Linked DNA regions of Tamandua tetradactyla. The protein of the gene in region 2 interacts with the protein of the main gene of each other region in a biochemical or structural test. Links are inferred from orthologs where the notes say so. Each region holds a gene or a part of one and is shown on either strand. Other genes may lie near its edges.

Evidence for each region. The genes of interacting proteins can lie anywhere in the genome.
Region 1: the proteins of BCL2 (region 2) and PMAIP1 interact in a biophysical measurement, tested with the Homo sapiens proteins (2 studies listed by BioGRID and IntAct, with this or other methods). The link is inferred for Tamandua tetradactyla from reciprocal best matches to the Homo sapiens genes BCL2 and PMAIP1.
Region 3: the proteins of BCL2 (region 2) and BAD form a complex in vitro, tested with the Homo sapiens proteins (5 studies listed by BioGRID and IntAct, with this or other methods). The link is inferred for Tamandua tetradactyla from reciprocal best matches to the Homo sapiens genes BCL2 and BAD.

The regions. Positions count from the first base shown.
Region 1 is NC_135344.1:22,426,020-22,433,045, forward strand, and holds the start of PMAIP1 (phorbol-12-myristate-13-acetate-induced protein 1), read right to left. Parts: upstream 3,022-7,026; 5' UTR 2,836-3,021; coding exon 2,778-2,835; intron 264-2,777; coding exon 157-263; 3' UTR 1-156. UniProt on the Homo sapiens protein: Promotes activation of caspases and apoptosis. Promotes mitochondrial membrane changes and efflux of apoptogenic proteins from the mitochondria. Contributes to p53/TP53-dependent apoptosis after radiation exposure. Promotes proteasomal degradation of MCL1.
Region 2 is NC_135344.1:18,921,640-18,929,021, forward strand, and holds the start of BCL2 (apoptosis regulator Bcl-2), read left to right. Parts: upstream 1-4,359; 5' UTR 4,360-5,123; intron 5,124-5,348; 5' UTR 5,349-5,638; coding exon 5,639-6,217; intron 6,218-7,382. UniProt on the Homo sapiens protein: Suppresses apoptosis in a variety of cell systems including factor-dependent lymphohematopoietic and neural cells. Regulates cell death by controlling the mitochondrial membrane permeability. Appears to function in a feedback loop system with caspases.
Region 3 is NC_135335.1:10,363,509-10,370,969, forward strand, and holds the start of BAD (bcl2-associated agonist of cell death), read left to right. Parts: upstream 1-4,440; 5' UTR 4,441-4,563; exon of another isoform or gene 4,564-4,598; intron 4,599-4,638; exon of another isoform or gene 4,639-5,463; intron 5,464-5,548; 5' UTR 5,549-5,556; coding exon 5,557-5,734; intron 5,735-7,461. Other genes in the region: integral membrane protein GPR137, read right to left, coding at 822-981, 1,290-1,408, 1,556-1,684, 1,784-1,933, 2,037-2,262, 2,958-3,007, 3,152-3,601, 3,688-3,741. UniProt on the Homo sapiens protein: Promotes cell death. Successfully competes for the binding to Bcl-X(L), Bcl-2 and Bcl-W, thereby affecting the level of heterodimerization of these proteins with BAX. Can reverse the death repressor activity of Bcl-X(L), but not that of Bcl-2.

The DNA.
Region 1 (7,026 bases), about 3.5 Mb from region 2:
CAACAGCAATTCATTTTTTAAATATTCCGTCTTCATATCCTAGGGCATCCAAAAGCAAGCGATTTGCACCTCATGTTCTCTCTAATTGTTGAAATCTGCACCTACTCGGGAATCTTCCATTTGAAGAGTCTCCTCATTTGGATGGTTCTGTAGCAATCAGGTTCCTGAGCGGAAGAGTTTGGCTATCAGGTTCAGAAGCTTCTGCCGGAAATTCAATTTATCTCCAATTCTTCTGAGTTGAGTAGCACACTCAACCTCAGGCTCTGAAAAAGGAAAGCAAAACACTGCTGTCAGTCAACAGGGTTCCAAACCGTAACCAACAAGAGTTAAAAGTGCCCCTCAAAGTAACAAACTGACTAGTTATGCCTTGAAGGGTTAGGTACACTGGTGCACTGAAAGCAAAAAGGTCACTTAGAACAAATACACATACACACACAGATCATACACTAAAACCTTCTGACTCAAATTTAAAATAATATAAGCTAAAACCACATTTACTTTGGAATCTTTTTTTAAAAAGGCATCGTGGATGAGGCAACTGTCATCTTACTCTTACTCTCAAATATGGAATTTAATGTCAGGCACCACAAATTGTTAGTGAGTCTTCACCAACCCCAGGTGATATCCTTTTCTCTCTTATTTTAGGTAGCTCAGGAAGCAGAAGCCAAGTTCTAAACTCTTTTGTGTTGTTTTCAAGTAGGATTTACTTTCCAAATGCCAATAATTGGTAGCTTAGGTTATACTCTTGATAATAAGCAAATCTAAGTTTGTTCTTTCCCTCATTTTTAAAAAACATCCTTTGCACTTATTTCATAAAAGGCTCATGCAGTCTTACGCCAAAATTAAGTCCAAAGTGTCTAAAATAATTTAAAAGTGTACATTTGACTCTAGAATCAATGTCTTCCCATTCTGTACCAATCCATTGCCTTTATGAAGGGTGAGTAATGAAACAGAAAACAAGCGATGCTTAACTTACACATTTACCTACATTTTTAAGAATGGAGGTACTATAACTAAATATTAATTTAAGAAAAATGTGTACAATCTAATTTTAAGTGCATTTTTAAGTACATGAAATTAATCCTAAATCTCTACTGACCATAATTTCAATTTTCTTCAGTATTTCAAAGAGCAACTCAGAGTCTTTTTGGTTCTCTTCAAAACTATGATTATGAACATTAAAAATCATTATGACTATAAATGAAATCTGGTGACTGAGCTTGAAATAAATGAAAACAGATAGTAAAGCAGATTTTTAAACCTACATTTCAACTAATTTCTTTCTCTATGGAAACTTAGTGAAATCTTCCTAACCGCTAACAAGGGGTTCTAATAAAGCTTGTAAAATGTCGTTCTTTATAGGCAATGGGGTCAGGTTTTCTGCAAAGACTTTGAGAAGCATTTACAAAGACATATGTTTTTCCTTAAAGAGGGATACATTAACATACAGCTCCCCCCAAACCCAAACCATTCAGCATACAATTTCGGGAGCCCTGAATTCTAAGAGCCAAAATTATCCCTTTTACCCAAAAAGGGGCAGAAAGCAGCTCCTAGTAGCTCCTGTTTCCTTAATTTTTTTATTAGTTACACATGTATAAATGTATTATTATCTAAGCAAGTGTAAGAGGGACTTTCTGCTGTCCCTTGTTACTGGAAGCTAAGTAAGATGGCTGAGGGGGCGAGGCACAGGCTAGACTTTACGCAAACATGGTCAGAACTCTTAGACTTGACAAACGACGAACAAAGCTTTTCCACACCAAGCAGCAGCCAAAGGGTGTCCTGGCCCTACTCAGCGATGGCCACATTAGCAATGCACCACCACATCCCCTGCACACGCGCGGGCCCTATGAAATGAAACTAAGTAACAGACCTATTAACTGTCTGATGTAATCACAGTAGGACCCGGAGGCGCGCGTCTTCCTCGCCGGTGCCCCTTACCAGATGGCTGCCTTCTTTCCTAAGATTTATATGGGGTGGAGGGGAACCGACCTGAAATTTACCTGACCGAGCTGTTTGCGAGGTGTGACAGATGGGGGAATGAATGGATGAAAAAGCATTGGGTATCACTCCGAGTTTTCTCCTACACCACCCTCCGCAATTATTGTCAATTGTCAAAAAGCGCTGTCTTAAGCAACAAAGAAGGAAGACTTTATAGGTTCCTGAACGCGGGAGTCTTTGCAGGACCTCCATAAACCCTCGGTCAGTCCTGCGTGGGAAGAGCTATGATAGCGCCAGGTTCTGTTTTTGGTTTTGTTTTTGTGTTTTACTGTGTAGGGAAAAGTTGGGGTTCACGTTTGGGAAGGGTTGAGGAGGGCGCGGTAAGCGAGCAGGGGTCCTCAAAGGTCCCCGACTCAGAAGGCGGAGCGCGGGCCCGGGGAAGCGCGCGGAGGCCATGCTGCTCCCGGAGCCCGCTCCGCCCCCACCTGCCAGGACAATGACTTTCTCCCCGAGACAGCCGCCAGAACTTGCACTTTTCTCCCCACGGTCACAGCGCAGGGAAAGAGGGATGACAGTGGGAACGGGCAAGAGGCTTTCCGCCCCGGCTAAAACGCAGCTGCATCCCAATCTCTCCCTCGCCAACTTCACGGTCCTGCGGGGAGTGGGGGGAGAAACTCTAAACAACTTTCCCGAGGCGCCCCTAAGGCACGTGCGAGGGCGCAGACCTGGCCCGACCTTGAGCTTCTATAGCCAGTCGGGGGCCGAGGGAAGGACTGACCCCACTCCGACCTAGACCTCAACCCCGACCCGGCTTTCTCCGGCCCCAGGTAGTCCTTTACCTGGCGGAGTCCGCGCCGGGCTCGGCTGCGCGTTCTTACGCGCCTTCTTCCCAGGCATCTCTCCAGCAGCCGCCGGGAACTCCGCTGCCGACCCAACCGGGAACTCAATCCCACAACGCGAGCACCTGCGGCGAGTTCCGGATGCGCGAGGCGGCCGGGCGGGATGCGGTGGCTGGCAACGCCGAGTTGCTAACCCGACTCGGTGTGGGCCCGACCACTTTTATGGACACGGCTCTGGGGCCCGCGCTCTGGTCGTAAAGGGACTTCCCGGTGACATAGCGAATCCTGACAGGCCCGCCCTCTCCCCGCCCCCCCCCCCCCCGCTATGGGTGGAGTCAGCGCGCGGCCCGGAGCTGGTTCGGGAAACCCGCGCCACTGGGCGCGACCTGCCCGGGCACGCTCCAGCCCCGTGGCGGCGCCGACGCGCCGCGGGGGGCGCAGGACGCACGGCGGGCCAGGCGGCAACAGTCCCGGGAGTCGGGAATCGGCGGGCCAGACCCTGCCCCTAAATTAATTATCTTCCTAATAAACGGGAAGGAGGAGGGTGGGGTCGCATTGAAAATCTGCACCAATCGGACGGAGAGTGAGCTGCAATAGTGGCGGGTCCTAGCAGGCTCGAGAGCCCAAAGGTTTTCCTAGCAGGGAAGTTGGGGGTGGGGGAGGCCCGGCTCCCGTCCTTATCGTGCATAGGCAATTAGAGACTTCTGGTAAACAAACCCTGGAAAGAGCTCCGAAAAAGCAGGTTTACGAACTAGGAGCCTGTGGTTAGTTGCAGTAAAGTAAAATGAACAGAGCTTTGATACCAGTAGAGAGAGTATCAGAGGCCATATGAGATCTGAGGAGAAATGGAAACATCGGAGCTGAAACCCTGGAGCAAAGCAGGAGAACACTGCGTTGGAGTTGGGGATGGGTGTATGTGAGAGAGCGTGCGGATGCCCGAGGGCGGGAGGTGTTTCTCCGCCCGGAATTAAGGTTGTGATTTTAAATGTTAGAGCCTAGTCCGTCTAGACAGAAGGTCGATATTGTCCATTCTGGATGTTCAGTAACACAGAAAGACTGGGCATCATATAGAAAGCTTCCAAATGCTTTCCTGGAGGTATCAGTGAGCTATTTGAGAATGTGAAATTACTTGTACCATTGCAATTCCGTTACTTTGAGGAAAAGAAGTAATTAGGAAGGGATAACATGCTAAAGAGGCGGGCATGCGTTTTTTCAATCCTCATAACAATCTTACAAAGCAGGTATTCTTATTAGTTGGCCAGAATACTGGGGTGAAAATTGACATTTTAGTCAATTACCGAAGTTCACTATAAGGAGAGAGCAGCGCCACTGACAACTTGTATGACCGTCCCAACCATCAGTTTCTTAGAAAAGGAATATTCCTATATGATGGGCACTATTTAATGCAGAGGTTGCAAACTAACCATGGAGAACTAAGGAGGTCCCTAGATTTGTTTGCTTGGGCTCTCAGTATGGATCTGCAAAGTGTCTTTTGAAAAATTTAATTAATTGTCACCATTTAAATACGGAAGGCCTCTGGACAAATCAGAAGCTCTGAGTCTGTTTTCCAAAAGTGGAGAATAAGCTGGCTGCCACTCCACTGAGAGGGGCTTCAAGCTCCAGTTTACTGCTCCCTGCTCTGTTTGCTTTGCTCATTTACATTATCTGGCCCCTGTAGGCATTGGAGCCTTAAATCTTCCCATCAACACAAACCAGCCAGTATTTAATTAGGGCTTGGTCCTGTAGAGGGTGTAAACAATGCTATAAGCGTGGTGCAAAACTATTCTTGCATTTAAACAACTTAGGAGACTTTTGTTGAGGGTAGTAAATACTCAGAGGTAACAGGGGCTAGAATTCAGGAGTTACCACCTATGCCACGGGAAGCACAGTGGAGATGCTGCCTTGAAATGTTATCTCAAACCTACATGGCCTCATTCTCATTTTTAAACATTTAATACATAAAGAACATCGTTAACTTCCAGTTTGCAAAATTGGTAAAATTCTGTTCAAATCACGCATCCTGAAATATAATGATTACAAAACAAAATAAAAGTGTATTTTAACATTGTATACTTACAAAGGGTGTATCAATCCTGTCCTCTAACATTGCCATTATAAAAGGTTGTTGATCATGTGACCAAACTGGATGCAAACTTTACACAAGTCTCTGAAGACAGTCGCAAATTCCTTGGAGGAGGAAAAAGGAGAGACAGGTCAAAACCATCTGGATTATAGAGGACTTTTTATGACTTTGGATTTGAGATGGTCCATAAACTCTTTTTCAGATCTAGCATTCTGCTGAGGAAGGGTAGTGAGAATTAGTTAGAAGCTAAAGATAAAAAGCCTCTCTTAACTGTATCCCTCTCTGCAAAAGTGATACATCCTGGGCTTCAAGAAATGTAAACATATTATGTCCATCTTGGCTGTAAAATAACAAAGATTTATTATGAAGTGTTAGAATCCCTTATTGGTTGTTAAAAAAAAACATTAGTACTGGTGAGGATGACAATTTTAAAAACTATTACCAGATCATCAGTTTTCATGGACCAAGTTAAAAAATAATAGTACCAATCTGCCTATGTCTGTATTGTCATCGCTAATGTTAAAAAAGCAAAACAAAACAATAAAACAGAACAAAACAAAAAACATGGTTAGTCATCAAATGATCATTCATTTATTTCATGGAGAAAATAGGACTTGGGAAAACAAAAGGATATGAGAGATGAGTACATTTGTGATGAAATACGCAGGTTGTTGACCTCAAGATGAGGTGTGATGAGAGAATAAATAAGATGATTTCTGAGGGAACAAGTTAAGAACATCTGTCAGGCAGAAAACAAGCTCATAGTCTTAGTGTGACCTCACCCCTACCCACCCCCCACTGACTTCCCACTCACAAGGCCAAGCAAGTTTTCAGTAAATGCTTTGGAGGTGCTTGGACATAAATGTAATTTCTAGTAACGACATGAGCAAATTACAAAATATGGAGTCTACAGTAATGCCCCTCCCATTTCATTTTTTATTTTTCTTTTTTTCCTTTGTCAGTCTAGCTAAAGGTTTGTTGATTTGATTGAGCTTTTCAAATAACTAGCATTTGGTTTCTTTGATTCTCTCAATTATTTTATTATTTTTTTAATTGTCTGTTTCGTTTATCTCCACTCTAATCTTTGTTCTTTCCTTCCTTCTCCTTACTTTACATTTTCGTTTGCTCTTCTTTTTCTGGATTCTCCAGTTGTGAGGTTAGGTCTCTGATTTGAGATCTTTTTTTTTTTTTAATATAAGTATTTAGAGCTATAAATTTCTCCCTCAGCACTGCCTTTCCTGCATCCCATAAACTTTGGTGTCATGTGTTTTGTCTTCATTTGCCTCAAGATGTTTCTTAATTTCCCTTGTGGTTTCTTTGATGCATTGGTTGTTTAAGAATGCATTGTTTAATTTCCACATATTTGTGAATTTTCTTCCTCGGTTATTAATTTCTATCTTCATTCCATTATGGTCAGAGAAGAGATATTGTATGACTTCAATATTTTTTAATTTATTGAAACTCATTTTATGACCTCACATATGCTTACCAAGGCATATATAAAACCACATGAATAATACTGGTTGAGTCCTGAAGGATATAATGGAAGCGTTGTTCCGAGATGGGAAGACTCTGCCCAATTAATCTAAGAATGTAGTATAGTTCTAATTAGAATACTATTATTTTTAGGAACATAACAACTGGAGGAGATCTAGGCCTGTTTGTCAAAATATTATAAAGCAAACATAAAGAGAAAATTACAAAGACAACTAGTTGAACAGAACAGAGAGTTAAAGATTCAGACTCAAAACACGAGGAAATGAAGTGGATAATTAAGGTGACCTGTCAATTCAGTACACACAAGGTAGATGGTTTAAGCCAATTGTGTGTGAATTTAAAAAAGTAAAAATAAAAATAAGGTCTGATTCCTATCTCATTACCTGCATCATAATAAATGCCAAAGGGTTCACACGTTTAAATAGAAACATCAAACACACTAAACTTAAGTAGTCTCTCTCTCTCTCTCAGCTATCATGTAAGGCCCTGGGAAGGCAGGAAGAGAGGTTTGGAGACAGTTTTATGGGGCCCCAGATAACCAAGTCTTAGACCTTTCAAATCCACTTCTGCAGAAATCTGAAACAATTATTTCAGCCTCCCAGACTCAAAAACTTGTAACCACAATGGATGACTGACACCTCACCTTCTCTTACCCCCATGCATTCAAGC
Region 2 (7,382 bases):
ATATCCCTGTGTTAAAAATGGGCATGGAGAGGCTACTCACTAGCTCAAGGTCACAGCCACGACTGATGGGGCCAGGATTCAAACCCCTGATTTCTGGTTTCTGAGCTCTGAACCTCTGCAGTGAACTCCAAGTAGCAGCACAGGTGGACTCTGAAGACAGCTAGCAAGGTTAAGGATGGTTTTGCAGAGGAGGGAATTCTTGGGCAGAAACTTGAGCAATGAGTATGAATTAACGGTGTGTAAAGGCTGGGTTCATATGTGCTAAGGCCAGAGACATGAGAGGGACTGGCATATTCCAGGAACCACAAAAAAATGAACACAGCTTCAGGAAGGCGATGTGGAAGGAAAGAGTGGGCGTTGAGGTGGTAGGGCTGGGCTGGATAAAGTCATGCAAAGGGGATGAGATTTCAGCCTTTGACAAACTTCGAAAACAAAAGGACCAGATTTTAGCTGTTGAAAAATCGTGAGACCCATTGAAATTTAGTTCTAATGTTGCTGAGCCCTTAGGCCTTGGAGTAAACCCTCAGACCTTGTTAAGTTTGAAAGATACCATGTTAACCTAGGTTTTTCTAGTTGCTTTCATCAGCAATGAATATCTGGGAGATACTGTGCTTTGTCCTAAATAGCTTAAGAGGATAAAAGTTAGTTATTACCCATAAGAATGTAAATTCTTTGCCTACTCCACCTCAGTACCGTGCTATCTCATGTTGCTTGTTTCTGTTGCTGCAGTTTCAATCCAATGAGAGCACCAGGCATTTGAAAAATATTAAGAAATTTAAGACAGGTTCTACCCTTAGTTTTTTGAAGCTCAAATGCCAAGTCTTTAATTTAATGGGAAAAGTATGCTACTTGTGAATTACTAGGCTTTCCTTTGTAAGCCAAAAGCAAACATTTGCCTGCTCTTAAGCTTCCACAACAGAGTGATTTATGTGTAGTGTGTTGTTTAAATGTTTGCTGTTTAATTATTCTGAACATATTTTGAGGTTTGGGACCTACCATAAATAAGGTGGGGTTCTAGGTTAAACCAAGCCTTGTTGGCTTAGATTTGGCATCGTGTGGCTTTAGGGCCCACAGCAGGCTTGGATGCTCTGCAGCAGAAGGCAGGCTCAGGGCATGAATGAATCGGAAACAGGATTCATCAATGGGGCTTGTATGAAGTTTGTCTACAAACTATTCAAACACTTTGGTCAGGAAGGTAAAGAGTGTAGCACTGTTCAGTGCAAGTTTATAATGTACTTGAAATTGGAAACATTTAGAACATTTTGGATTGCTTTTATAGATCTGCGGGATCTCGTTTTTTAAGCAGTTCATTTTTTCTCATAGAAATTGTTTGGACTACTTGTTTTTACTCTCTCTAGTCAGTTCCTTTTGTTTATGTATTTATTTCCATATTATAAAAATTATGGAGTTTGCCTAAATGGTTTGGGGGTCATGTTTTACATTTCTAACTTTTTCACATCAGTTCCCTCTCTTTTAATGGTCTCGTTCTATCCTGATTTTAAATACAAAGTTAAATGGTTGGGAAGATGCCATATATATGCCTATATTGAACATTAGTATGTCCAGATTAGAATAATAGGAACATTAATATTGGTGATGGATGAAAATAACTTTCTAAATTATACTGCTAAACATCAACCAGTAGGTGGCGAAATCTGGCAATAAAAGCTTTTTGTTTGGCAGATTGGGAATAAAAAAGAAAACAGGCCTTTCAGACTCTTGAGACAATCTCCATTTCCTGCATCTGGTTCTTTTCTCCTCCTGGTGCCACCCTACCCTGAGAATCAAAGCTGGCAAAAGGGGTCATCCATGGGATCTTAATGGGAGGAGACATCTGGGAAAGAGAAGAGTCCACAGCGCATACCTGTAGAAGGCTGCTGGAAGGTCTGGGTCCCAGATCTCGCCACCAATCCCAGAACTGCTGGCTCAGGCCAGTGTTCCATCTACCACCTCATTACCCAGAGACAAAGGGTTAACGTTACATACTTCCTGGGAATGCTCGCCCTTATGATTTTAAGTGGATTCTGTTATGCATGGGCTCTGAACAGAATAGAATTACTCTTTGGATTGAAAGAGTATCCAAAACATTCCAGGGACTATATAACCTTAGAAAAGGACTGTGATGTAGATATATCTGGAGAGAGGTGTTTGGTTAGAGCCAAGACACCATATGAGGAATTATTCTGGGAAAACTCATAAGGTGAGGCTTCATGAGAGCAAACGAAGGGAAAAATATAAGGGAGCTTTTCGTTCCTTGGGAATAGGAGATATTCCTCCTGGTTGCCCCCTTCGCGGAAGTACAATCTCTTTTCCAGCCCTAGAGCCTCTAATTTCCTCAAAAACAGTAATTTCCTCTCTCTCTCACAAGTAATTTTTTTGGGTTTAAAACCAGGATCTAAGAAGATCCAAAGGGAGTAAACTACAATGTTGTAGAATTAGAATGATTTTGACTATTTCTTTGAGAACAGATACTGAAGTTCATTCTATAGCAGGGCTGTCTGCAGACACCTCCGCACTGCCCACCAAGCACAGGGGGCTTGGGCACAGCCCTTACACGGTGGAGGGAGTGTCTTGCTTCCTTCCCTCTTGCTTGGCTAAGAGGTTTGTACCAGGGCATCCATTCCTATGTGTAAGATGTTTGCACACTGGCAGATTGGGGTGGTAGATGAAGAAATGAAAAAAAAATGGTGTGCTCATTTTGCTTTAAGAATAAATGCTTTGTTTTTAGACTAGGAACGAGACAAAATATCGGAGACTGTGCCAGAAGATATTTGCACACATTGTAGTACTCATTTGTCATGTTTCTGTGACACAGTAACCAACTGTCCCTATATATTTGTACTTGAGCCCTATTAAGTAAGCTGCTGTGCTTTTAGTAAACATTTATTTCTCGGTGCTTTGTCAGACTCAGAGACAAAAATAGTGAAACGTGTACAGCTTGTTTGTCCTCTTGTCCTTTTCACGAAACTAAGAACTATTCCAACTGATGAATTAAAAAATACTTGCGTATGTATGTATTTACATATATGTACGTGTACATATACTACGTATATTACATATAATCTGAGAGGCTGAGTCCCGTAGGGCTGGCTGCTTGGCACACGTGGTGGAGGCCTTTAGAAACCCACCGACGCCGGGACCGCGATTGCGCGGGCCTGGAAGTTGCCATGCAGCCCTTCCCAGCGTCCAGCCCTGAGCCAGTGCCCGAATCATCAGGACCAACGCTGACCCAACTGTTTTAAAGCCCTTGCTAACCACTGCTCGCCTCTTCACTAGCCCGCTGAGGGTTAGGTCTGGCCTTTGTCGCAGATCGGGTCCTCAGGTTGCCAACGCGCCGGAGGCGGGTGGGTGTGGGTTTGGGCGTGTGTCCGCGCGCACGCGCGCGCGGGTATATGTGCTGCGTGGGCAGCTCGGAAGCGACTTGAATGTAAACATGCTTCGGGGCTCCCCTCGCTAATGAACGTGCAGAGTCGCCTCTTCACGGGAGGGCAGCACTGAGGTCCCCGCTGGTTGGGGGCAGCAGCGGCCCGGGTCCTCCCGGCGGCCGCGGGCTGGTCACACACAGGCGCGCGCACCCGCGCACGCGTACACACACACACATACACACACACACACACACACACACACACACACACACACACGGTTAGGAAAGCTCAAAGCGATTCCCCGGTGCCTTTCCGGGCTTGTTTCCCTGGCGCGCCGCCGGGCCGCCCCCTCCGCGCTCCGCCGCTGCCCGGCCGGCCTCGCGCTCTTCCCTAGGCGCCCCGGCCCCCGGCGCCCGCGCAGCCCCGCCCCGAGGCCCCAGAGCGCGCGCCCGGCCGCCGCAGGCCCGAGGAGGCCCCGCGCACACCCACCGCGCCGCGGCCGCCCGGGAGGCCTGCGCCGCCCGCGCCACCCACTGGCCGGCCCCGCGGGCAGGCGGCGGCCCCGAGAGACGGCCGTGCGCGCCATGTGTCCGCGCCGCTCCGGGTCCGGCCGGCCGCGGGGCCTTTAACCCGGGCCCCGGCGCGGGGCGGCTCCGAGGAGAGCTCTTTCTTTCTTCTTTTTTTGAATGAACCGTGTGACGTACGCACAGGAAACCAGGCGGGTTGAGTGGAGAATGAAGTCAGAGGCCAGACCCCCCGCCCGCGCCCGCCCCCTTCCTCCCCGCCCCCTCCCCCGCCCGCGCGCCCGCCCGCCCGCCCGCTCGCCCGCCCCCGGCGCGCCCGCCCCGCGCTCTCGGTTTCCCTGCCGAGTTGCCGCTATCGCCGCCGCCGCCACCGCGAGTGGAGGTGCCCGGGCGCCGGGAGCTCCCCGCCGGCGCGGCCGTCCCCGCTCGGAGCGGGCTGCGCGGCCGAGCAGCCGGGGAGGCGGGCGCCGCCGCCACCGCGCGGGAGGAGGAGCAGGAGGAGAAAGGGTGCGCAGCCCGGAGGCGGGGTGCGCCGGTGGGGTGCAGCGGAAGAGGGGGTCCAGGGGGGAGAACTTCGTAGCAGTCATCCTTTTTAGGAAAAGAGGGAAAAAATAAAACCCTCCCCCGCCACCCCTTTCTCCCCACCCCTCGCGGCACCACACACAGCGCGGGCTCCTCGCGCTCGGCACCCGCGGCCCGGGCGCGTCGTGCCTGCATTTATCCAGCAGCTTTTCGGAAAATGCATTTGCTGGTCGGACTTTAATCCGAAGAGGATTCCTGCCCCCGGCCGGGGCTCGTCCACCGTGCCCCCTCCCCCTGTTTCTCTCCCCCCGGAGGCGTGAGGCAGCCCCGTGGATGGGGATCCGGGTCTGTGCCCGCGCGTGTCTGTGCGTGTGTAAATTGCCGAGAGGGGGAAATCACAGGACTTCTGCAAATACTGGACTGAAAATTGTAATTCAGCCGCCGCCGCCGCTGCCTTTTCCTCTCGTGCTCTTGAGATCTCCGATTGGGATTCCTACGGATTGACATTTCTGGGAAGCAGAAGTCGACTATTCAATTTGGAAATTCTCCTCATTTTTTCAGCCCGCTCCCGACTCCTGGTTCATTTGCAAGTTTCTCAGCAGCTCTAACCGGAGAGTTCTGAAGATCGATGGGATCTTTGCCTTATGCATTGGTTTTGTTTTTGCAAAAAAGGAAACTTGACAGAGGATCATGCTGTCCTTAAAAAATACAAGTAAGTTCTTTGCACAGGAAATCGGTTTAATGTAACTTTTAGAGGAAACATTTGCGATTTTAACTTTAAGTGCGGTAGTGGACGTTTAATTTGCAGGCAGTTCAATACATTCTTTTTAGCCATGTAACTTGTAATGTGTCTGCTCTGCTTTCACCCGTGCATAAAGGAAAATGCACCTGATTGTGACTTACTAGTGTTCCTTCTTTTTCTTTTTTAACCTTTCAGCATCACGGAGGAAGTAGACCGATATTAACGATAATTAATGCTCATCATGTGCCTCATGAAATAAAGATCCGAAAGGAATTTCAATCTAAAAATTTCCTGCATCTCATGCCAAGGGGGAAACACCAGAGTCAAGTGTTCCGCGTGGCTGAAGACACCCCCTCATCCAAGAATGCAAAGCACATCCAATAAAATAGCTGGATTATAACTACTCTTCTTTCTTTCGGGGCAGTGGGGTGGGAGCGGGGGCGAGAGGGGCCGTTGGTCCCGGGCTGCTGTTGCTCGGGGGAAGGATGGCGCACGCCGGGAGAACAGGGTATGATAATCGGGAGATAGTGATGAAGTACATCCATTATAAGCTGTCGCAGAGGGGCTACGAGTGGGATGCCAGAGATGCGGGCGCCGTGGCCCCGGGGGCCGCCCCGGAGCCGGGCGTCTTCTCCTCCCAGCCGGGGCACGCACCCCCGCCCGCTGCGCCCCGGGACCAGCCGGCCAGGACCTCGCCGCCGCCGCCCCCGGCCGCCCCCGCCGCGGGGCCTGCGCTCAGCCCGGTGCCACCTGTGGTCCACCTGACCCTGCGCCAGGCCGGCGATGACTTCTCTCGTCGCTACCGCCGCGACTTCGCCGAGATGTCGAGCCAGTTGCACCTGACCCCCTTCACCGCGAGGGGACGCTTTGCCACGGTGGTGGAGGAGCTCTTCAGGGACGGGGTGAACTGGGGGAGGATCGTGGCCTTCTTTGAGTTCGGTGGGGTCATGTGCGTGGAGAGCGTCAACCGGGAGATGTCGCCCCTGGTGGACAACATCGCCCTGTGGATGACCGAGTACCTGAACCGGCACCTGCACACCTGGATCCAGGATAACGGAGGCTGGGTAGGTGCACGTCTGGCTGCGTGTGAGTCTGTGCATGACGTCTGACGTCCGAAGTGCCCCGGGCACGGGGGGCTGGGGGTGAACTCCGGGGTCCAGCGCAGGCTGCTGAGCCGGTGAAATCAATTCGGGGTGTTTGTTCCCCGCTCCCTCCCTCTCCCTTCCCCTCTACCGGGCTTTCCCTGCCAACCCTTCTGTGACAAATCCTTCCCGCCAAAAGTGTTTTTCCTTGATTTGCCAGCCGTTGAATGTTCAAAGATCCAGCCTTTGCTACCCAGTGGGATCTCGTGATAAACTGTGTTCCTGAAGTGTTTCTCAGACTGTGATCCAGGGATCCCCTGAAGCGCGGTTATCTGGTCTGGGTAGCGTGTTGACTTTGGAGATTGCAGGGGCTGCTGCTGCCTGCTGAACTAGACCCCAGTGCTGGGTCCCCCAGGAGCTCCCTCTTAGACACGCCCCCCCGGGGGGGGGGTGCTGCTGTGTACTAACGATTGAGAACCACTCAGAGGATCTAGGGGGGTGCCTTTCTGACTTTCTTGGTAAACTCTACCAGAGAGAAGAACCACTCAAGCCCCTCTTCCTGGAATTCGTAAGTGCGTTTGTAAAGAGCTAAGGTGACATTGGAAAAGCTGATGGACTGCATGCAGTGCGTCACTTTCCCAGCCGTCCTGAGCATGTGCCTTGAAGAACACCGGGATAGGATGCTCGGTTTATCTCATGAGTGACCCTTTGCACAGGCTGCGTACTTGACGTTCCATTTCTATCACTGGTGTGTGGTTTAAAAGTTCTCTGGAATTTTGGTCTCTTTTACTTTTCACCACCTAGAATCCACATCAGTTTGTGGTCTCCTTTGCTGAGAAAAGCTGCATCTAGGGTATCTGTGTGAAGCATAGATAATCTGATTCTTACCTGTGGATTCTCTCCTGCTCTGCCTTTCGTGGAAGTGATCAATGCCTGTAGTTTTGAAGAACAGCTGTGAGATGGTTTTCTTTTCCTGGTACTATACTAGATAGAGCTTCCATCATTTTATTGTGCAGCTGCTCTTTTCTGTGGACTTGAGGGGAGGGATGCAGGTCCGAAGACATAAGGATTGTAATTAAGATCTGCATCTTCTATCTAAAGTTAATTTATGAAAATTCATAAAGTTAATTTATGAAAAAGTAAAAGA
Region 3 (7,461 bases), on a different chromosome or scaffold from region 2:
GAAAGAAGGGGACCCCAAGACCACCAGGCAGACGCGGGGTGGGGGGCAGCCAGCCCACCTAGCCAAATGCATGCCCTGATAGACACAAGCTGCTCGGTCACCATGCTAACACCTCCATAGGCCCTGGGCTAACTCCTGGCAACTGGACGCCAGGTTGAGGGTGGTGAGAAGGAAACAGGGTATCCCCAAGTTCCCATTTATTGGGGGTAAGAGGCATAATAGCCACATAATCACCATGCTACAGGCCCTAGGGGATGAGCCACCATTCCCTGACCAGGAGATGGCAGGCTTCAAAAAGGAGGTGACATCTGAAGCAAGTCTTGGGGAAAGGAGCCTGGGAGAACAAAGACCTGTCTCTCTTCCCTCCTTGGCACCCTCTCCTTGCCCACCAGCCACAGCAGAGGGCAGCAGCCCTTCTCAGCCCAGGAGCCCTCTTCAGGCCAAGGCTGACCAAACAGGCAGAGATGAGAGAAGAATACAAAGCAGTCAAGAGAAGACGGACAGAAGAACAGACACAGGAGACAGACGCTGTTTATTGAGTGGTTGATGCAGGAGAGGTAGCTGGCTCCGGCGTGGACGCGGAGGCAGCAGCTCATGCCGGCGTGTTGTGGGCATGTGGCAGCTACGGCCAGGCCCCCATCCTAAGTGGGGGGGACGGCACAAGCTCACTACGACAGGAGCAGCCAGGGAGCCCGCTGGGGAGCAGGCAGCCACAGCCCCCGGGACCCCAGGCAAGAAGCTGCAGATGAACTTGGCCCAGGGGCCTGGGTGAAGGGGGACTGGGGTCTGGGCATCCTGGGGAGCAGGAGGGGAGTGGGGGTTCACGTCTGTGGGGTGGAATAGAGACAGTGGTGGTGGCCGCCGGGTCCCGGCACCTGGGAGAAGAGCAGAGGAGAGGTCCGCGTCTGGCTGCCTCCGCACCAGCCCGGCTCACGCCCGATGGCGCCGTACCAGCTGCCTGAGCCTAGGCTGCCTGACATGCTGCAGACAGAGAAATAGGGTCAGTCCCAGGACAGTGACTGGGGCCACATGCATGGGAGCTGGGGGAGAGACCGAGGCTTAGAACAGAGCATGCTGGGAGGAGCTCCCGGGGAGCAGCCCCATGCCCCAGACCTCCAGGGCCCAAGGCTTGAGCCCCCGAGACCATTGCAAACTGCACCTTGGGATGGGGCGGGGCATGGGGTCAGCAATAGAAAAACCAGAGGTAGAACCCAGCCAGGGCCAGCGATGGGGGGACAAGACCAGGCTGTAGGTGCCCAAGGCTCCCGAGGCAGGGCGGGGACTCCTACCTGGTGCTCTCACCCCTGCTGTGCTCCCAGGAGCAGCCGTCGTCCTCACAGTGCCCAGCTCGATCGAAGAAGTAGGAACGGGAGCCAAAGACATGCCCACTGAGGATGCGGCTGGTGCTCTAGGGGGAGGAGACCACCCTCAGCACCTTCTCCCGGCTGCCACTGGCCTCCCATAAATCCCCCTGCCCCTGGCACTGCCACATCTGGCCCTCTCTCCACCGGCCCTGCAGCGGGGGGTGGTGGTGGGGTGGACTGGAGGCCCTCACCAGGTCCTGTGCCGGCCGGTGCACCCGGAAAAAGCCCACCAGCAGCGTGGTGGGCAACAGCTCCCACACAAAGAGGATGAGGCCGAACACCAGGTACCCTTTGTCCCCCAGGTCATTCACCAGGTCCGCCTGGGGGAAGGAAGGAAGGTACAGGGCTTGTTCCCATCTGCAATGGTGCCAATGGACCAGCGGGCCAGCCGGGAGCTGCGGCTGCTCCAGGATGCCCACCTGATCGGACACGTTGTACCAGTCGTAGTCGAAGGCGTCCAGCCGGCTCCGCGGGGCCAAGGCCAGGGCTGCCAAGTTGTAGCAGGCCCGGCTAGCATAGAGTAGGACCATGGCGCCACCCATGGCAGCTGCCTGGCACACACTGGTCCCCTGGCAAAGGTTTGTGACAGCTCAGGGAGAGGCAGCGCCCGGCTCCCTCTCTACCCTGAGGACCGCGGTTCCATACACGGGGCATCCGAGCCTCGGGGCCTACCTTGGTTTCCAGGTAGATGCTGGTGGAGGGGGCCCGCCGGGCCACCAGGCAGAGGCAGGCAGCAAGAGAGAGCGCGCAGATGACGAAGAGGGAGTCGCTCACCAGGACTCGTACCAGCAGCAGGGCCCAGGGCTGTGCCCGGCGCCGGTGGGACAGCACAGCGCACAGCACGTTCACCAGCAGAAAGAGCAGGGAGGCTCCCACAAAGGCCCCGCGCACAGCCAGCCTGCAGCCCACAGCACGGTCGGCTCCAGGTAGAGGCCCCCCGGCTCCCACCGCCCACCCCACCTCCCCACGGAGACCCCGGAGACCCCAGAGCCCGTCGGGACCTGCTCCTCCCCTTTGACAGATGGGGAAACTGAGGCCCAAAGAGGTCGGTAGGCGATCTGACAGCTGTGATACCGGGAATCAGACACCTGGGTTTGAGCCCTGGCTCTGCTTCCCGCCAGCTCTGTGACCTTGAACCTGCTGCTTTACCTGGCTGGGCTTCGGTTTCTTCATCTCCCGGATGGGGATAATAAGGACCTCACAGGCTAATTGTAAAACTTAAAGGTTTGTGACGGCTCTGTTATAAACTCTAAGATATTCTTACAAACCACAGGGGCATTGCTGCCCAGTGTCACCCAGAGGTGCAGTCTGACTCTGGAGCACCCATGGGCTGGTGCTTCCTGCCTTTCCTCAGACAATGAGACCCTCATCGCGCACACCCCCCTCCGCCGCCCCTGGCCCTTACAGGCTCACAGCTGCTTCCATTATTGTTGCCCTTCACACACGCAACGCCTCTAGTCCCGCCACCTGTGCCAGGTGCTTTAACTTTTCCAAGCTCGTTCACACACATTCCCTGAAGGTCTTCGTCTCAGCCCAGCAAGGTGAGGAGGGGTGGGAGGTGGCCCAAGCCCCCCCGGTGCCCTGAGTACTTACAAGCCTCGGCTCATCTCTGGCCGACGCTTCGCCTTGGCCTTGAACACCACCTGGGAGCAGAGATGCCCATCAGTCTTTGCAGCCCTTGGGGGCCCCTCACTACACACACACACACACACACACACACACACACACACACACACACACACACACACACACACACACCCTCCAACACCACCCGTTCCGACAGTTACCTGGGCAAAGTAGAGGTTCATGAGGGTCAGAGTGAAGAATTGCAGGCAGACGGGGCAGCAGTAGAGAAGCCAAAAGGGCAGGGGCCCCAGGCGGTTGGCTCGCGGGGTATCTCGGAAGTAGAAGGAAAAGAGGGTGGTACGCAAGGCAGCCCACAGCAGACAGAGTGCCAGGAACACCGTCTGATAGCTGAGACGCTTGTGCCCATACAGGAGCACCAGCCAGAGCTGGGCATAGACGGAGAAGAAGAGCAGGGCGTACAGGGTGGTGTAGGCTGCAGTGAGTCCCAGGGTCACGGCGGGCGGCAGCGCAGGCACCAGCCCAGCAGCAGGCACCAGGCCAGACAGGTTACTCTCCATGGCAGGGACGGCGGCCCGAATCCCGGAGACAGAGATGGAGGGGCTGGCCGGCAGCCAGGGAAATAAATACAGAGGGGAGAGGATCACAGGGTGCTGAGACAGAGAGATGGGGGAGTTCAGGAGGAAAGAAGTTGTGGCTGGCGCAGGCCCTTCTTCCGTGCCAGAGAGACCCTTTGCACCTGGGGGGCACCGACAGCCTGGGCCCTGAGCCGGAGCTCCTCACGCAGGGACATACGCTCCTCTCCAGAGCAGACGGGGGTCTCCTCCTTGGGCCACCCCCAGAACCCTGGGTGTGGGGGTGCAGATGCTGAAGGAGAGGGGTCCCAGGCCTTGGTCGCTCGGGAGGGTCCCAGCAGGAGGGGGAGAGCTGGCCTATGTCCGTTTGCTCAGGACAGCGGCCACTGCAGGGGTGCCCCAACGTCCCGCTCTCCCCCTCCCCAGGCTGGGAGGGAACTCGCTCCCTTCCAGTAATCGGGGTGGGGGGAGCGCCTCTGCCCTCTCGGGATTCCGGACGCCGCCCCCACCCCACCCCCCACCGCGTCCGCTCTCTGGTCGCGGGGGGCGGGAAGAGGCCGACACCGGGTGCCCGCGGCCGCCGCTGGGGAGCCGGCTCCGGTCGCCGGGACCCGGAGCTCCAGCTCCCCGGCTCCCGCTGTTCCGCCCCCTCCTGAGCCTGCGCCTGCGCCGTTCGCTACGCAAATTGCGCAGGGGCCGGCCCTGGCTCCGCAGCCCCGCGCCGCGCCCGCCGTGGGGCGGTTCGAGAATCGGCGCGAGCTGCGCTGCGGGCGGGTGCCAGGGGTTACGCGAGGTGGCGGGCGGCAGGGACGCGGGGAGGGCGCCGCACCCGCCCGTACGCCCTGGGGGGGCGCCGTGGCCTGGACCACTGCGCGGGCTCCCACGTTTCCCTCCCCTATTCCCGATTTGGATCGCGCCGCCCGCACGGGGGCGGGGACTTCGCCTCTGAAGGACACTTCCGCCCACAGTCAAGATGGCTCCCCGGGCCCCGCCCCCGGGCCCTTAACCCGCGGGGTCCCACCGCGGCTCCCGCTCACCTGGTCAGAGCCTTGCACGCCGCCCCACCAGCCCTACGGTTCGCCCTCACAGGGGCCCCTGTCCTTTCTCCTGAGCCCGGGCGGCCATCCTGCCAGGGCGAGGCTCCCTCTCTTATCTCGAGCGCACCCGAGACGGCGCCGGGAGTGGTGCCCCAGCTGCGGGAGGCGCGGGGTTTCCACGCTGGGGAGGAGGAGGGCGCGGGACTTCCCGACCGGGTCACCCAGTGCAGACCGAGCAGTAACAGTAATTGGAGCCGCGGCTGGACATCAAGTACGGCCTCGGCTGGTGCTTTCGCCCCCAGCAATCACTGCTCGGTTTACAAAGTTTTCACTGGCTGCTGAGGGAGGTGTCATTATCCCCAATCCAGACGGGTGGAAACTAAGGCCCAGAGGGGCGGAAGGACTTGTCAGCAGAAGCAGGTCTCCAGGCTCCAAACGGGGACTCCAGAGAATCCCTCACCTGCTTCCGCACACACCCCAGGCGTGAGGAAGCTGGGAGCTGAGCATCCAGGGACCAGCCCGGGACCCGAGAAGAAGGCGAGGGGCAGGACGGGCGGTGGGGCGGGGCCCGGTTTGGCCACGCCTCGCGGCCGGCCCGAGTGACATTGCAAAAGCCTATTGGGTCCGGTCAGTGACAGTTCCCGTTGCCCAGGTAACTAGGGCCGGGCGCCCTGAGTACTGCAGGGAGGCGGCGGGCCCGGGTCAGGGGCCTCGAGATTGGGCTTAGGGTGAGACCTGTGGGCCGTTGCCTTGGCCGGGAACGAGCCGGGGACTGCCTCACAGCCCCAGGGCCCGATGGTAGAGTTGGGTACTGAGTGGATAGGCTGAGCTCCTCCTATCCGGGCCAGACTCTGAGGATAGATGGGGGGCCTGGGAGGCAGGCCGGATCTGCGGGTTCCACGGGTAGGGAGGGAGCCAGGGGTACCTGCCCCCCACCCGCAGCGGCCCCAGCTGTCTGCCCTGACCACCCACTCTCTTGTCCCCACAGCCCGGAGCATGTTCCAGATCCCAGAGTTTGAGCGGGAAGATTCCAGCCTTGCAGATAGGGATCTGGGCCCCAGAGCCTCAGGGGACCAGCCTTCAGGCCTGTGCAAGCACCACCACACGGTTCCAGGCCTCCTGGGAGACGACAGCGGTCATCAGGGGCAGCCAGCTGGCAGCAGCCACCATGGAGGTAGGCAATCTCTTCAACCACCTGGCCCTCATAGCCCCCTGTACCCCAGCCACATTGACACTCACTGACTGGCTTTGGATAAGTCCATAACCTTTCTGAGCCTCGGTTTTCCTCTTCTGTAAAACAGAACACTCATCACCACTCAAAGGCTGTTGGGTATTAGCAGCAATATATAGGAAGCACTAAATTATAGAGTACTGATGCAGAGTACTTGCTCGGAAGAAAACATAGCTGTTATTGTAGGGCCAGGACAAATCAAAAGAACAGGCAGGGAGAAAGGGGAAGTGACTTGCCTAAGGCCACACTTGCTTGATGGAGGTTCCTTTGGTAGGTGGGGCTGGGAGACTCCTTGGTGCCCTGCCCCTAGGCTATGCCCTGCCGCAGACTATACCCCACCCCCAGGCTGCCTTCTTTCCCTGGGACTGGGCTTTCTAGCTTCCTTCCAGCTCCTGCCCACTCCAGGGCTAACCTCAGCTGCCAGGGGCAGGTGACCCCAAGTGGTAGACAGCTCTCCCAGGCAGCGGGGCCTGTGGGGGTTTGAGAAAGATGCTAGTAGAAGTACCCCTGCAACCTGGGCTGTCCTTGCATCCACTGAGGCCCACTGCTGGGGACATTTCTCAGTAGTCCCCCGTGCTCAGCACAGGCCTAGGTCCCTGCCCTGGGACAATCCCAGAGGCCTTCTGGAAAACAAAAACATGATCCCAGTCCCTGTTTTCTTCAGGAGCATGAAAGCTTATGCAGCCTCTATCTCAACCCCCCCAACCCCTCGCTCACACACACACTCTAATAATTTCCAGATCTTTTTATTTGTTGTTTCACCCCCAACACACACACACACCTAGCAATAGTACTCATCCTTTGGTTCCCCTGGCAGCATTCACATGCTCCACCGATTGAGTGCTTGACGTGGGCCACGCACTGTTCAGTTACATCTGTGAGCAAAAGAAATAAAAATCCTGGCCTTGTGGAGCTCACATCTCTAGTGGGATGGGGAGAGACAGGCCATAAACAAACAAGCCGACAAAGGAAATTACAGAATGTGATAGAGGTTTGTATTGCTGCTGGGTGGGTGGAGGGAAAGCTGCAGAGAAAAGAGAATGTGGAGCCCTAGGGCATGGGGTGGTCAACCTAGCTAAGAAGCAAGAGGTTCCGGCAGATACCTGTGGGAAAGCCTTCCAGGTGGCGGGAACAGCAAATGCTAAGGCCCTGGGGGCAAGGTAGTGACTGCATTGTCCCGGGCTTCTATGGCTGGAGGGGACAGTGAGGGGAAACAAAGTTGGAGAGGAGAGTAAAAGAGTTAAGGGACAAGGGACAGGGACGGGCACAGGCAATCTGGGCTGGGTCTGGAAGGCCATTGGAAGGAAGGGCTTTGGCTTTAACCCCGAATGCAAACGCTGGAAGGCCTTTGAGCTGAGAGGGTGTGATGGGATTGGGGCATTACCATCACCAGGGTTGAGGGGAGACTGTAACTGGCAAAAACAGAAGCAGAGATAATCCTGTCGCAATAATCCAGGAAAGAAAAGAGGGGGGGTTGGGCCAGGGTGGTGACAGCGGCGGGTGGTGAGAAGAAGCTGGATTCCAGGTCTGTTTGAAAGGTCCAGCTGGTGTGATTTGCTGGCGACTGGGTGAAGGTTGAGAAGGAGGAGTCAAGGGGAGGGGGCGCCCCCAAATTTTTGGCCTGAGCCCCTGCAGGGATGGAGTAGCCCTTAACTGAGGTGGCAGAGGGT